3 linked regions of the Oryzias latipes genome follow. The main gene of each other region encodes a partner of the protein of the gene in region 3 in a complex. Links are inferred from orthologs where the notes say so. Each region holds a gene or a part of one and is shown on either strand. Other genes may lie near its edges.

Region 1 (4,221 bases), on a different chromosome or scaffold from region 3:
AGTGAGGTCAACCTGTTTGGAATTTGAATGTGGAAGCAGCCAAAGACTTCAGCGGCAGAGAATTGCGTGGAAATGCTTTTAGCCCCCCCTAGTGGTGAAGTGTCTTTGTTATACTTACACTCCTCTAAACCCAGCTGGTAAGCCAGATTCTGAAGTCCTTTGACTTTTTCCATCAGATTGGCTGTAGTCAGACTTCCCAGCTCTGCAGAGGTATAACATCACACTAAATAAAAGCATTTAGAGATACTTAATTAGCTAAAGAAACATGAATTATTATTTAAAGTCCCACTCGGATTTGATCTTTTGATCTGTTGTAACCCTTGTGCTATCCTAGGCACTTTAACGTTGGGAGTTGGGTCATGTAGACCCACTAGACAGTGCGCTGAACTTTTTTTCTTCAATGATTTATGATCTTCACTGGTGTCCATGGATTACATGAAATCTTTCCACCTTTATCCACCTTTGTCATGGTCGGAAGAACACGTCAATGTAAGGGTGGGGTCATCTAAGATAGCACAAGGGTTAAAAGGCGTTCCCAGAGGTCTTTTAATGAATGATTATGCCGTTTTTTGCCGAGATAGAAAAAAAACACTGTGTGATTTTTAAGGACAGTTAGAGCAGAGCTGCAGTAGATCATCAGTTTATACACTCTACTGCTAGCTTACAGCCACTCACACCCCCAACCTAACCTTAGAAACGAAAATGGCGAGCAATATTGATTAAGAAATAAGAAATTTCAAACAGCATTTTTTCATCTGCTCCTGATTCACAACGATTTGAATAAATAAGAACTCAGAAATGCAATTTCAAGCTTAATTTTCTTTATACGTGTCCTCCATTATCAGATGTCAAGATATCAAATGCCACAAGAACATGTTCAAAACACGGTTTTTCTTATCAGAGTGGGTTTTTAATGTTTTCCCTAAGGTTTATACAGGATAAATGTCAGCTGTCTGAACCAACCTTTCAACATTTCAATGTCCTCACTCTCCAACTCAGCCATCCACTTTGGAGGAGAGGTGGTGATAGGCTGCAATAAAAAGAGAAAAACAACAACATACAAAGTCTCAACTCCAATCAGTCTATGCAGAGTCAATCCTGCATCTTTAGATCAGAGCTAAACTCACATTTTTGCAAGTTGCCGCAAACTCTGCAACTCCAGGCACTGTGTGAGAATTCACATAAAGAATCAATTACAAAGTAATTTTTTATCAGCTGGGCGTGGGAGGATAGAAACTTACACTGCTCTGGCCACAGGTCAGGTGATGCTCTGTCCAGCTTCTCAAAACTCAGCAACGAAATCTCAAAATCCTCCCCTGCAGAAGCACACAGTGGTTCACTTTGACATGTTCTTTAGTTTTTTAAGTTCTATGCTTTTGGAAATCAGTGGTCAACTATAAAATTCAGCCAAATGTTAATTTAAAAAAAATTAAAAAGTAACTTTTTATAAACAGGTCAAAAATTGAAACCTAAAAACAACTTTTGTTTCATGTTTTATCTAGACAGAAAGAGAGGAAAAAATCTAATATTTATCTGGTCTTAAAATTAGGCAGTTTCGAATGAGAATAAATGGTTTTATTCATTTAAGATTCGTACAAACACTGATCAATTAAAATGTTCAAAGAGGTCATAGTCATGTGGTGATCTGATCATCTACTAATAACTCTTACACTGCTGTAAAAATATGTTTGGCCATTTAAACAGAAATGCCTCGTTGATGTGAGAGATCAGAGGAGAATGGCCAGACCGGTTCCAGCTAATAGAAAGGAAACAGGAACTCAAAGAACCACTGGTTTCAACCAAGGTCTGCAGAAGAGCATCTCTGAACAACCCTTGAGGCAGATAGGCTACAGCAGCAGAAGACCACACCTAATGCTGCCATTACTGTCAGCTAAGATCAGGAAACTGAAGCTTTAATTCACACAGGCTCACCAAAACTGGACAATAGAAGATTAGAAAAACATCTGGTCTGAAGAGTCTCCATTCCTGCTGGGACATTCAGATGGTAGCATCAACAACATAAAACCATAGATCCATCCTGCCTTGTATCAACAGTTGAGGCTGCTGGTGGTGGTGGTGTGATGGTATGGGGGATCTTTTCTTGGCACACTTGTTAGAGACACTTTTCTTTCTTATTTGTCTGTATATGTATAAAGGGTTTTCTTTCTTATCAACAATTACTTTTGCTATCAAATCTGAACACTGGTCCTTCACCAATATAGAGAATTGTATCCAAAATTTCAATAACTCTTGACAGAGTGTGAATTACTAACTAATAACATTATTGGTTCTGCAGACTGTTAAACTTTTTAGAATTTGCTTTCAACATTTTTAACACATTAAAAGATACTCATTACGGACATAATACTTAATAGCAGACTGATTCCATTTTCAATCAAAGGAGTCGAACAGTCACACAAAATCTAACAAGCAACCAAAACAGCTACTACTAATTTAAAGTAGAGAAAAATAACTAAGTGCTAAATGTAGCACTGATGCTAATTCGAGCCAAACGGCCAAACGAAGCAACAAGAAGAACAATCTGGACTGCTGCTGTCATCATCAACGGCGGACAATGTCAGTCCCAGAATCAGGAAAAACAAAGGAAGAAAAACAAACCGATTAAACAAGAATTTAGTCCTACGACAAATTTTACGTTACCTCTGGGTGTTCACATTACACTGCGTTATAACTGTTAACGACTTAAATGTCTCGAAACTGTCACATTTGCGATGTATTCAAAGCGTATCGGAGAGAAGAATTAAAATTTACCTCCATTTGGAGACGCCATCTTCAAAATAATCATGTGACATGCAACAACCAATCGCAGCGGCCGCGCTCTGTTTTGAGGTGTGGCGATGTTTTTCAAAATTACGCCGCTAGAGGGCGGCAATGGTGCTCGCGCTGTTTACAAGAGGCACAGAAGATTACTGTTCGTTTTATTCAAAGATTTATATCGTCTTAGAAATTGTAGTACGAACATTACTGTCATAACTTAATGAAAAGACCCTTATTTAAGCCCACCATAGTCTCAATGAAATGTTACAATGCTGGTACATTTTATGGTTTTACCTTAGGGGACATTTAAATCACCTTTTATTCCCTCTAGTTTTTATTTCTGGAAAGAAAAACCATAACTCAATTATTAAACAAGACTTTCACATCCCAGATTTGGAATGTTTTGCATTTAGTTTATATTTTTATAACAACAATTTCTTGCATTTAGTTTACTAGGCCCATGTTTCACAGATTTTACAAGTTTGAACTTAAGTATACATAAAAAAACGGTACAATTTATTATATATATATATATATATATATATATATATATATATATATATATATATATATATATATATATTGAGTTTTCCAATTTTTTGACTTTGCGGCACATCTCGTTTTGTGTTTGTAAATTTTGCAAATATAACAGGACATGAAATACAAGAATAAAACAATTTATTGATCAACATAATAAAAACACAAAATCAAAAGTATAATACTAAAGCTCAGGACAATCTCAACTAAAAATACATGTAAAATGTTCTGGCTTTAAAAAAAACAACAACTACTGTCTCTTTCAAATGGAATTTAGTTTGTCACTAAAGGCAACTTGGTGACAACTCCAGTGCATCTTAAAAGATTCTACAATCTGCTTTCCAAACTGACTGAATTCACATTTTTTCTTACAGAAAGACAAATGAAATGTTTAGACTCAAACTGATGTTTTGAAATTCCCTCGGCTCAAAATGCTCCGTGTCTGTGACATCTTAATCAAACAAGGATAACTAGAAGTCCCAGGAGTCTATCCACTTCAGGCCTGCCATGGCACTGCCCGGCTCATGGGCAAGAGGACCCATCATGCCATAGGACAGAGGATGAAAAAGGTAGAAACTGGAAGGAAGACAAAGATCTACTCAAAATCAACAAATTCTTTATTGCCTTTACATTCCCACCAACTAGATGTAAATATGAGGTCTGCCTTACAGTATTTAGCACTTTGCAATGCAAAAAGTTACGAGAAGAGTTACTTTCACCTGATATAAACTGCAAAGTTAGGGCTCTCTTATGAGTCTCACCTGTAAAGGATGCTGAGCTGAAGTAGCAGCCATCCACCAACTTTCAGCCGGTCAGAATAAACAGAGTGGAGCAGCAGGTCAGAGCTTTTAAGAAGGATGTCCAGTGTAACTCCTGTTGAAACAAGGCGACAACCCTCAAAAGACG
Region 2 (4,115 bases), on a different chromosome or scaffold from region 3:
TTTCTTAGAGAAACTTCGTTGGCGAGGGGAGGGGGTTCGGAAAATGTTACAATAAAATACAACAAATTCTGTCAAAGAGGGAACGTTTAAGTACATTTGAGCAGAGATCACAGAAATGAGATTGTTTTTTTTATGGATTAAAAAAAAAAATAAGACAATCAGAAGTACAAAAACAATATGTCATTTAAAAAACAACAACATTTTGATCCAAGACTCCGTGTATTTCTGTTTTCTGCAGTATGGATCGTATCTCCAGTTCTGCAGACTCTGTGGTCTCAGCCTCCATAGTTTGCTTAATTTAGTCAAAATTCACCTGTGCATTAGTCGAAGCATCTCTGCAAATCTGCGTTACTCTTTACTGAGAGAGAGAGAAAAAACCCACGACCCACATTCCTCTCTGTCAAGTCACACATGTAGGAAATGCATCTTTCTTAAAGTGGCTGCACCGACCGCTAAATTTAAATCTCCAAGCTAGCAAAGTTAACAAAAAACAAAACGTATTTGGAAAGTTTGTTTTGGCAGGAAAGATCCAGAGAGGAAACAGAAAACTGCATTTAACAGACATAAACCAGGAGTCTTTACTCCAAATGTGGATTATTGTAACCCCCCCCCATAAACACAAACACACACACTAATAACAACAACAATATTCAGCAAAAGGCTGTCTAATGTTACGAGGACGCTGCTAATAAAGTTGTTCAAATGTTAAATTTACATTTATGTTTAGAAAATATCAGTTTCAGTGACTAAAGGTCAGACGAAGCTGAAGTTGGCGTCTTCCACTTCGACAGTTATTGGTTCAGGGAAAATCTATTTCACATTTTAATGATTCCTTCAGGAAATTCTGTTTTTACAGAGGATGAAGATAAACTTTACCCTAAAAAATAAAACAAAGCTGGGAGGTAAAAGAAAATCTGACAGCCACTTCAGCCGCAAACAAGCCTGAAAAATGTTGGGGACCAGAATGGAGAGGAGAAAGAAATCCCACAATTCAGTGTCGTCACAACATTGAAAACAAAACAATAGACACCCAACAATAAAAGTCCAACTCCAATCATCTTCTGATCTATTCTCAAAGTGTTCCCAGTGGTCTTGTACTTATGATTCTGCCGTATTTAGCCAATAATCCAAAAACTACTGTCATTTCCTAGGACATAGTTCCTGCAGAGCAACAGGAGTTAATCAGAAAATCACCTCAGAGTTGGGGACTGAACCACTGGTGGGGGGGGGGGGGGGGGGGGTGTGTTAAGCCTGCTTTGACTTCCCATCATCCCTTTGTTTACACTCTCTCTCCTTCTGGCTTACAGCCCCTCACACCCCCCAACCGAACATTGCCAGTGCAACAAGAACGATGAGCAATATTGGAGCAATCCAGCCGTACAATTCTCAGCCAGTAGTTGTAGTTTTTTTAAAGGTTGAGTCCATCACCGTAATAAAGATTGCGTGATAAATGCAAATGGAAAGATCTCCTTTTATTTCTTTTTTTAAATCCTCTCTGGTGTTTCTCAACGGAGACACCCCAAACCCCACCAAGTCACGCCTCTGGTGCAGGAGTCCCGGGATGTGCACATCAGCTGGTTGTGACAGAGGCTGACAGCTGATGGTCTGTTAGGCCGCAGCGGTCCTGTGCATGGCCAACTCAACGCAAGCGCGCGAACCCTCCCCGAACCTCCCCCCACGTCCACCTGAACTCCTCCCCTCCTCCTCCCCCGCGAGGAGGCGGGCCCAAACCCGCTTTCAGTCAGAACCAGAGGGAGGGGGTCTAACCGAGGACATGAAGCAACGGGGGGGAAAGCGTCTACGGTCTGCGTTACTATTTCAGGCCGGCGTTGGATTTCGAAAGATCCGCCATTTTTACCTCGTCATCAACTCGGTTAGCTGCCCTGCTAGCGCAGAAAAACTGACAAAAGGTTCCGTTGAAAGCGGACACGCCAGCCGCCGGAGACACCAAACGGAGAAGATTCACGGTGAAGCACAAAGGCATTCCCCCGAGCTCGAGGGCAGACCCGGGAAATCCGGGGCACGCGCACAAACACCCGGAGCGGACTCTGTGACAGTGTAAACAATGCTAGCTTCCCACAATTCCTCCTGTCAGTTTGGATTTCTCTCGGACTGCAACACCTAGAACTCAGATGAACTACTTTTCCACAAAAACGTTGGTTGTTTTCACATGTTTAAATTTGTTTCCGGTGGTTAATAAATGTCCCCTTTTTTATTTTTGAAAAAAAAAAAGCTTAGAGTTTAAAAATGTAATTAAATTGATTGTAACGTAGGCTTTAAAGATAACTGAAAAAACTACTAAGATCACTAATTTCAGTTCAATTAAAAAACAACGAAATAGTGGCTTAACACCCCAAACCAGTTGTGTTTTTTGTTGTTGTTTTACCTTCATTAGCAAGCAGTTAACAGCGTATTTCTGCCCCAGCGCACGAAAGTTTTTTTGTTTTATTTCATTAAAAAAAAGCGGAAAACGTCAGTGAAAACCCGGTTCCTCATCGGCGGCTTCATCTTCATCCAGCAGGCAGGACAACTCTCCTAGCGAAGTTGCTGAGCTGGCTAACCCCAGCTAGCTAGCACAACATTATACCTCAACATTGAACAGCTTCCTAAGTGCGCGGCTTTCTAGTGCAAACGGTGCGGTAAAGTTCACAAGGCGGTAACAGGTAATCGTGCTTACCCGGGATTTAAACGCTGGGTAGCGTTTCCAGTTAAAGCGAGGAAAGGTAAAAGCGATTGTTCAAAATACCGCGCCGAGCGCCATTCCTCCCTGACATTTCACAGGCCGGCCACGCCCTCCTCGCGTGACACCACCGTGACGTAACTCTTAAAGGGACAGGCCCCCTCATTCATCTGTCCTGAAATTTTATTCAGAATAATTTCAGAAAAAATGTAATGTTTTTGATAATCAGCTGTTTTTTTCAGAAAATGTCAAATTCACAATTGTAAGTGGTCTAATTATCAACCTTTTTTTTAAATTTATTTCATCTGGACTTTAAATTATATTACAGTACTACAGAACACGTGAAATCCGAAAAACTGCAAGATTTTTTTTAATATATTGTATTTGATTTTATGACTTATTTTATCTTGAATTTTTTTGTATTTAATATTACAGACCCACTCCGATGAAACTTGTTTTTTTAAGCATGTTCTTGTGGCATTTTTTCTGATTAAGGAGGACAATTAAGCTCAAAATTGCATTTTTGTGTATTTCTTTATTCATTTTGGCGTGAGTCAGGGGCAGGTTAAAAACCTGCAGTTTGAAAAAGATCACATTTGTGACGTCAACTTTATGCTGGCCACAAGTTCCCTGCTCTATTCCCAGCAGATGTCTTTGTTTTCCTCATCTGAGCTGGTATCTGGATCAAAACTGTACAGCTGGATAGCTCCAATGTTGCTCACCATTGTCATTGCCCCCTTTAATATTAGGTTGGGGGTGTGAGGGGCTGTAATATAGTGGGAGAGGAGGCAAAAAGAGAGCTCTCAGTTATTGGTGACAGGAAGGAGGGTTGCTCAACTTCCTTTGTCTCACCCACAACTTAGAGGCAAATTTCTAATCATCTAATGGGGGGAAAAAATCTGTTAATATTTTTAAATACAAGTGTTAATAATAAAAGTTTTATTTATTTAACCCACACTTTTAGGTATCTAGAAATGTAAAGAAATATGTAAAATGAACATAAATAGAGGATTTCCTGCAAAAATGCACATATAAATGCTGAGACACTTAAAGTTAGGAAAAAAGCTTCACTGACGGTTGAAAAAGGAAACAAAACTTTGTAACAATTTAGTTTAGATCATTTGATGAAATGAAACAGACCTCATAATAGAGTTTAATAACTTCAATTAAAAAAAACTCTGGCAATAATTTAAAAACACTGCTGCAATTTAAAAAGCCATTAGATGAAAGATTAATGCTAATTACATAATTTATTTATTTTTAAACTTAAGTATTGACATCAAACAAGCCAAAAGAAATGTGTTAAAAATGATAAACAACAACTTCAAAACCAATTATTTTTTAGTTTATCGTCTATATGGGAAGACTAAAAAAATATCTACAAGTTTGTATTTTTTCTAAAAACATCTGTTCAAAATTGTTCAAAATATTACAA
Region 3 (3,078 bases):
CAAGAGATTTGCTCCGCTTCGACCTTTCACACCGACAATGACTACATGCACAAGTATCCGGTAGCAACATTCCAGTGTGAACACCATTTGCTAAAAGTATGTTCAAGAATGCGTGTTCTTGAAGAAACGTCACATGTCTGGTGTGAATGTTGCAATAGGAGTTACACCAAAAACACAATATGCTTTATTGGGATTTTGCGCTTTATTCTTTCCAGTTTTTATTTTATTTTCATCAATCCCGTCTCATTTATTCTATTACATTTGAAAAAACTCCAGTAACCCAAATCAATGCTCCCTTAAAGAATCGGGTTGCCTGTCTACGACCCTCCGCAAGCCTGGACATACAGGAGAACCTGTATGGGTGCATGTGACACCACCACGCATGTGATGCGTGTTCATATGGCGGAGTGTCACTACCTGTGACAGACCATGGCCGCCGCCTGTTGTTGGAAGAGACTCGGTGTAAAATGTCGAAAAATGTCAAAAATCTTGTTCCAGGCTATTTTTTCCCCAGCTCTACTCCAATTTCTGAAAGACTTGGTGTGATAGAATTCCGTCCAGAAACAAAAGGCAATTATTAATTTTTCCTTCATGATTGGCACTTCAGTGAATCAAAAGGGACGCCATCCATTCATAACTACCAAATCCTAGTCCCTGATTGGTCAAATTCAACCCGGTTTAACTTTCAACAGGTGTCCACTGAACGCAGAGCCCGAAAACGGTTTTAAAAACGTGTGTAGCGATGCGTGAAAGCGAAGGCACCAAGCGCCCGTTTACATAGCCTTTTCATTGGACGTGGTTGCTTGAACGCGCGTTGCTGGGGGCGTTGTGAACGCAGCTTCAGGCATAAGGTCTGCTGCCGCCGCGCACCCCGACTCCAACAAACCAGGAGGTTCAATGAAATCACATCTACAGAAAACGCTGCAACCAGGCCGACTCACAGAGAGTTTTCTTTCTGAGTGAGCGGCGTCTTGTCGCGCTGCAGTGGCGTGGTGACGATGGCTTTCTGGCTGCACACGGGTGTGGACGTGAGGGAGGGGTTCTCCAGGTCATGAGTGTCCTGCTTGGTCCACATGTTCAGGAACTGGAAAGACGAACTGCGTTAAACGGAGGCACCGAAAATAGACTTTTCTGAGTTTTTTTGTGTTGAGGCCCACCTGAGAGGGAGAGAACGGCAGGTGCTTGACGGGGGTGTTTTTGGGCGTCATGGTGGTGTCGGGAGACAAGGCCACCCGCCTCCGGTGGCGGCAGGTGAGGATGGAGGGCGGCGTGATCCCGCCTGGAGAGATGGGGATGAGCTCTCCTTTGCTGCCTTTGCTCAGCTCCTGCAGAGCGCTGCCCTCCAGGCGGAACTGGTGGCGCTCTGGACTGGGACTGTCCTCTGGAAGGTGGAACTCCGCCAAGTTGCACCACCCGTCCAGATCCTTCAAACAGAAGTTTCCTTGCTTTTGTCCTCTCAAAGGTGGCAATCTCAAGTATTTACAAACAGTTGATCTTACCCCGTCCACCAGGTCCAAAACCTCCTTCAGAGCCGGGCCTGTGGGGGAGAGGAAACCAGAACCATCCACCACCCAGCTGCCACAGCTCATTTCTCCGTCCGTTTTAGGGCTCAGGCTGTCTTTCGGTGAGGGGGCGGCGTTTAGTAGCTTGGTTTCACCCGTGTTCTCTGCAGCGGTTTCCTGCGTCTGCTGCGGAAACATCACGCATCAAGGTGAACTGAACGTAAACCGTGAAGAGTCACGAACGGATTCAATCGGCCGCTCACCGAGGCGCCTTGGGGTTTCTGCTCCTCCTCCGTCTCCAGAGCTTCCTGGGAGAAGCTAGCCGTCGTCTGCGTGAACATGAAACAAAACCTTCAGTTGATTGGAAATGAGTTACCGGAAACAAGCGTTTGAGGAGATCTTCACCCACCGGCACGTCTTTACCGATACGAGCCATCATGTCTTCCAGCTCGTTGGCTCCCCACACCTCGCCGGCGTAGAAGCCCATCTCCAACTTGCGCTTGATGGTGGAGTTCCAGTGGTTCTTCACCGCGTTGTCCGTCCTGTTACCACAAATACCACATGGATACTTGGAAGTTTCCAAACCCAGAAATCTGCAGGGGTTTAGTCAATGTTTTGTCATTCTTTCGACTACCGTAACTCTTCCACCGCTTACGCAATTCGAGACTTTAAAGAGGATTCTGAACATTCAAGTTATAAATGGGCCAATCAGGTGCCTCAATAAAAATGTGCACGTCAAACGTTTGACAGATTTTGTGTCGCCAGCTTCAGAGTGGTAGGGGCGTGAAGTAGGGCTGCACTGCAACTTTCAATTTATGAAATTAGTGATCAACACAATACGACTCGAGTTACATGAACAAACAGCCAAAGAAAAACCAATTACTATTTCACTGCAACTCTTTGTTAAAAACAAAAAAAAAAAGTCAACATAACTTAATTTAGACTCCAAATGACCCACGGGCTCCACCTGATTGGCCAAATGCGCATTGGATTCGTTAAATACTTTAAGCTGCCATGAGGTTGTTTCATCGAATGTAAAGGTAACGATTTAGTCTTTTGCAACACTCGTCTCGCACAGGCTGATATTGTGATGGCGATACATTTGTGTAGGCCTAGCGGGGACTTCCAACGAGCTCGCTCCTGATTGGCGAGAGCGGCTGACTCAGACTAATCACTCCTCATTGGCGACGTCTGATTCCAACATGGCGGCCTTGGTATTGTAAAAAACTGGTGACTGAATTGACCTCATTTCGCTGGAACCAGTAAGCCATTTTCTGTGGGTGACATCACGCTCACTCAGTCCAGTTCTCAAATACAGACAATTTTTCTGAAGCGGAGAAAAGCAGCTTGGAGCTGTTATGCAACACTTTACGTTAGTATAGTAATCCACCGATTCAGGTTGAGCGCATAAATAGTCAAAGTGTTACGGTACGCCCAAGAATGTGTGTTATTAAGGTGTCGGCGTGGACATCTGCAGGGCTAAAGGGTTAAGAACCTTCCAGGGAGGAGCTTGGCGATTTCAGCCCAGCGGTTTCCCAGCAGGCAGTGAGCCTTGTAGATGATCAGGTCCTCCTCG

The links. Proteins that work in one complex are often made in the same cells at the same time.
Region 1: the proteins of mybl2 (region 3) and lin52 are in contact, whole or in part, in a crystal structure (PDB 6C48), measured with the Homo sapiens proteins. The link is inferred for Oryzias latipes from reciprocal best matches to the Homo sapiens genes MYBL2 and LIN52. Residues at the interface, in NP_002457.1 of Homo sapiens: Trp663, Val666, Ala667, Gly669, Thr671, Asp673, Gln674, Phe676, Lys680, Ala681, Gln683, Leu684; in NP_001019845.2 of Homo sapiens: Gln84, Ala87, Tyr88, Gly91, Leu92, Glu94, Ser95, Met98, Thr99, Lys102, Phe103, Leu107, Glu108, Lys109.
Region 2: mybl2 (region 3) and lin54 share a complex: the UniProt entries of both Homo sapiens proteins name them as parts of the DREAM complex. The link is inferred for Oryzias latipes from reciprocal best matches to the Homo sapiens genes MYBL2 and LIN54.

The regions. Positions count from the first base shown.
Region 1 is NC_019880.2:13,721,140-13,725,360, reverse strand, and holds the start of lin52 (protein lin-52 homolog), read right to left. Parts: upstream 2,810-4,221; 5' UTR 2,807-2,809; coding exon 2,773-2,806; intron 2,722-2,772; exon of another isoform or gene 2,662-2,721; intron 1,987-2,661; coding exon 1,933-1,986; intron 1,317-1,932; coding exon 1,242-1,316; intron 1,166-1,241; coding exon 1,128-1,165; intron 1,031-1,127; coding exon 964-1,030; intron 203-963; coding exon 119-202; intron 1-118. Other genes in the region: pomt2 (protein O-mannosyl-transferase 2), read right to left, coding at 3,786-3,891, 4,077-4,188.
Region 2 is NC_019870.2:2,882,972-2,887,086, forward strand, and holds the start of lin54 (protein lin-54 homolog), read right to left. Parts: upstream 2,810-4,115; 5' UTR 2,678-2,809; intron 2,638-2,677; exon of another isoform or gene 2,387-2,637; intron 2,281-2,386; exon of another isoform or gene 1,859-2,280; intron 1-1,858. UniProt on the Homo sapiens protein: Component of the DREAM complex, a multiprotein complex that can both act as a transcription activator or repressor depending on the context. In G0 phase, the complex binds to more than 800 promoters and is required for repression of E2F target genes.
Region 3 is NC_019863.2:23,220,265-23,223,342, forward strand, and holds part of mybl2 (myb-related protein B), read right to left. Parts: coding exon 2,998-3,078; intron 2,045-2,997; coding exon 1,912-2,044; intron 1,832-1,911; coding exon 1,766-1,831; intron 1,689-1,765; coding exon 1,500-1,688; intron 1,425-1,499; coding exon 1,158-1,424; intron 1,085-1,157; coding exon 942-1,084; intron 1-941. UniProt on the Homo sapiens protein: Transcription factor involved in the regulation of cell survival, proliferation, and differentiation. Transactivates the expression of the CLU gene.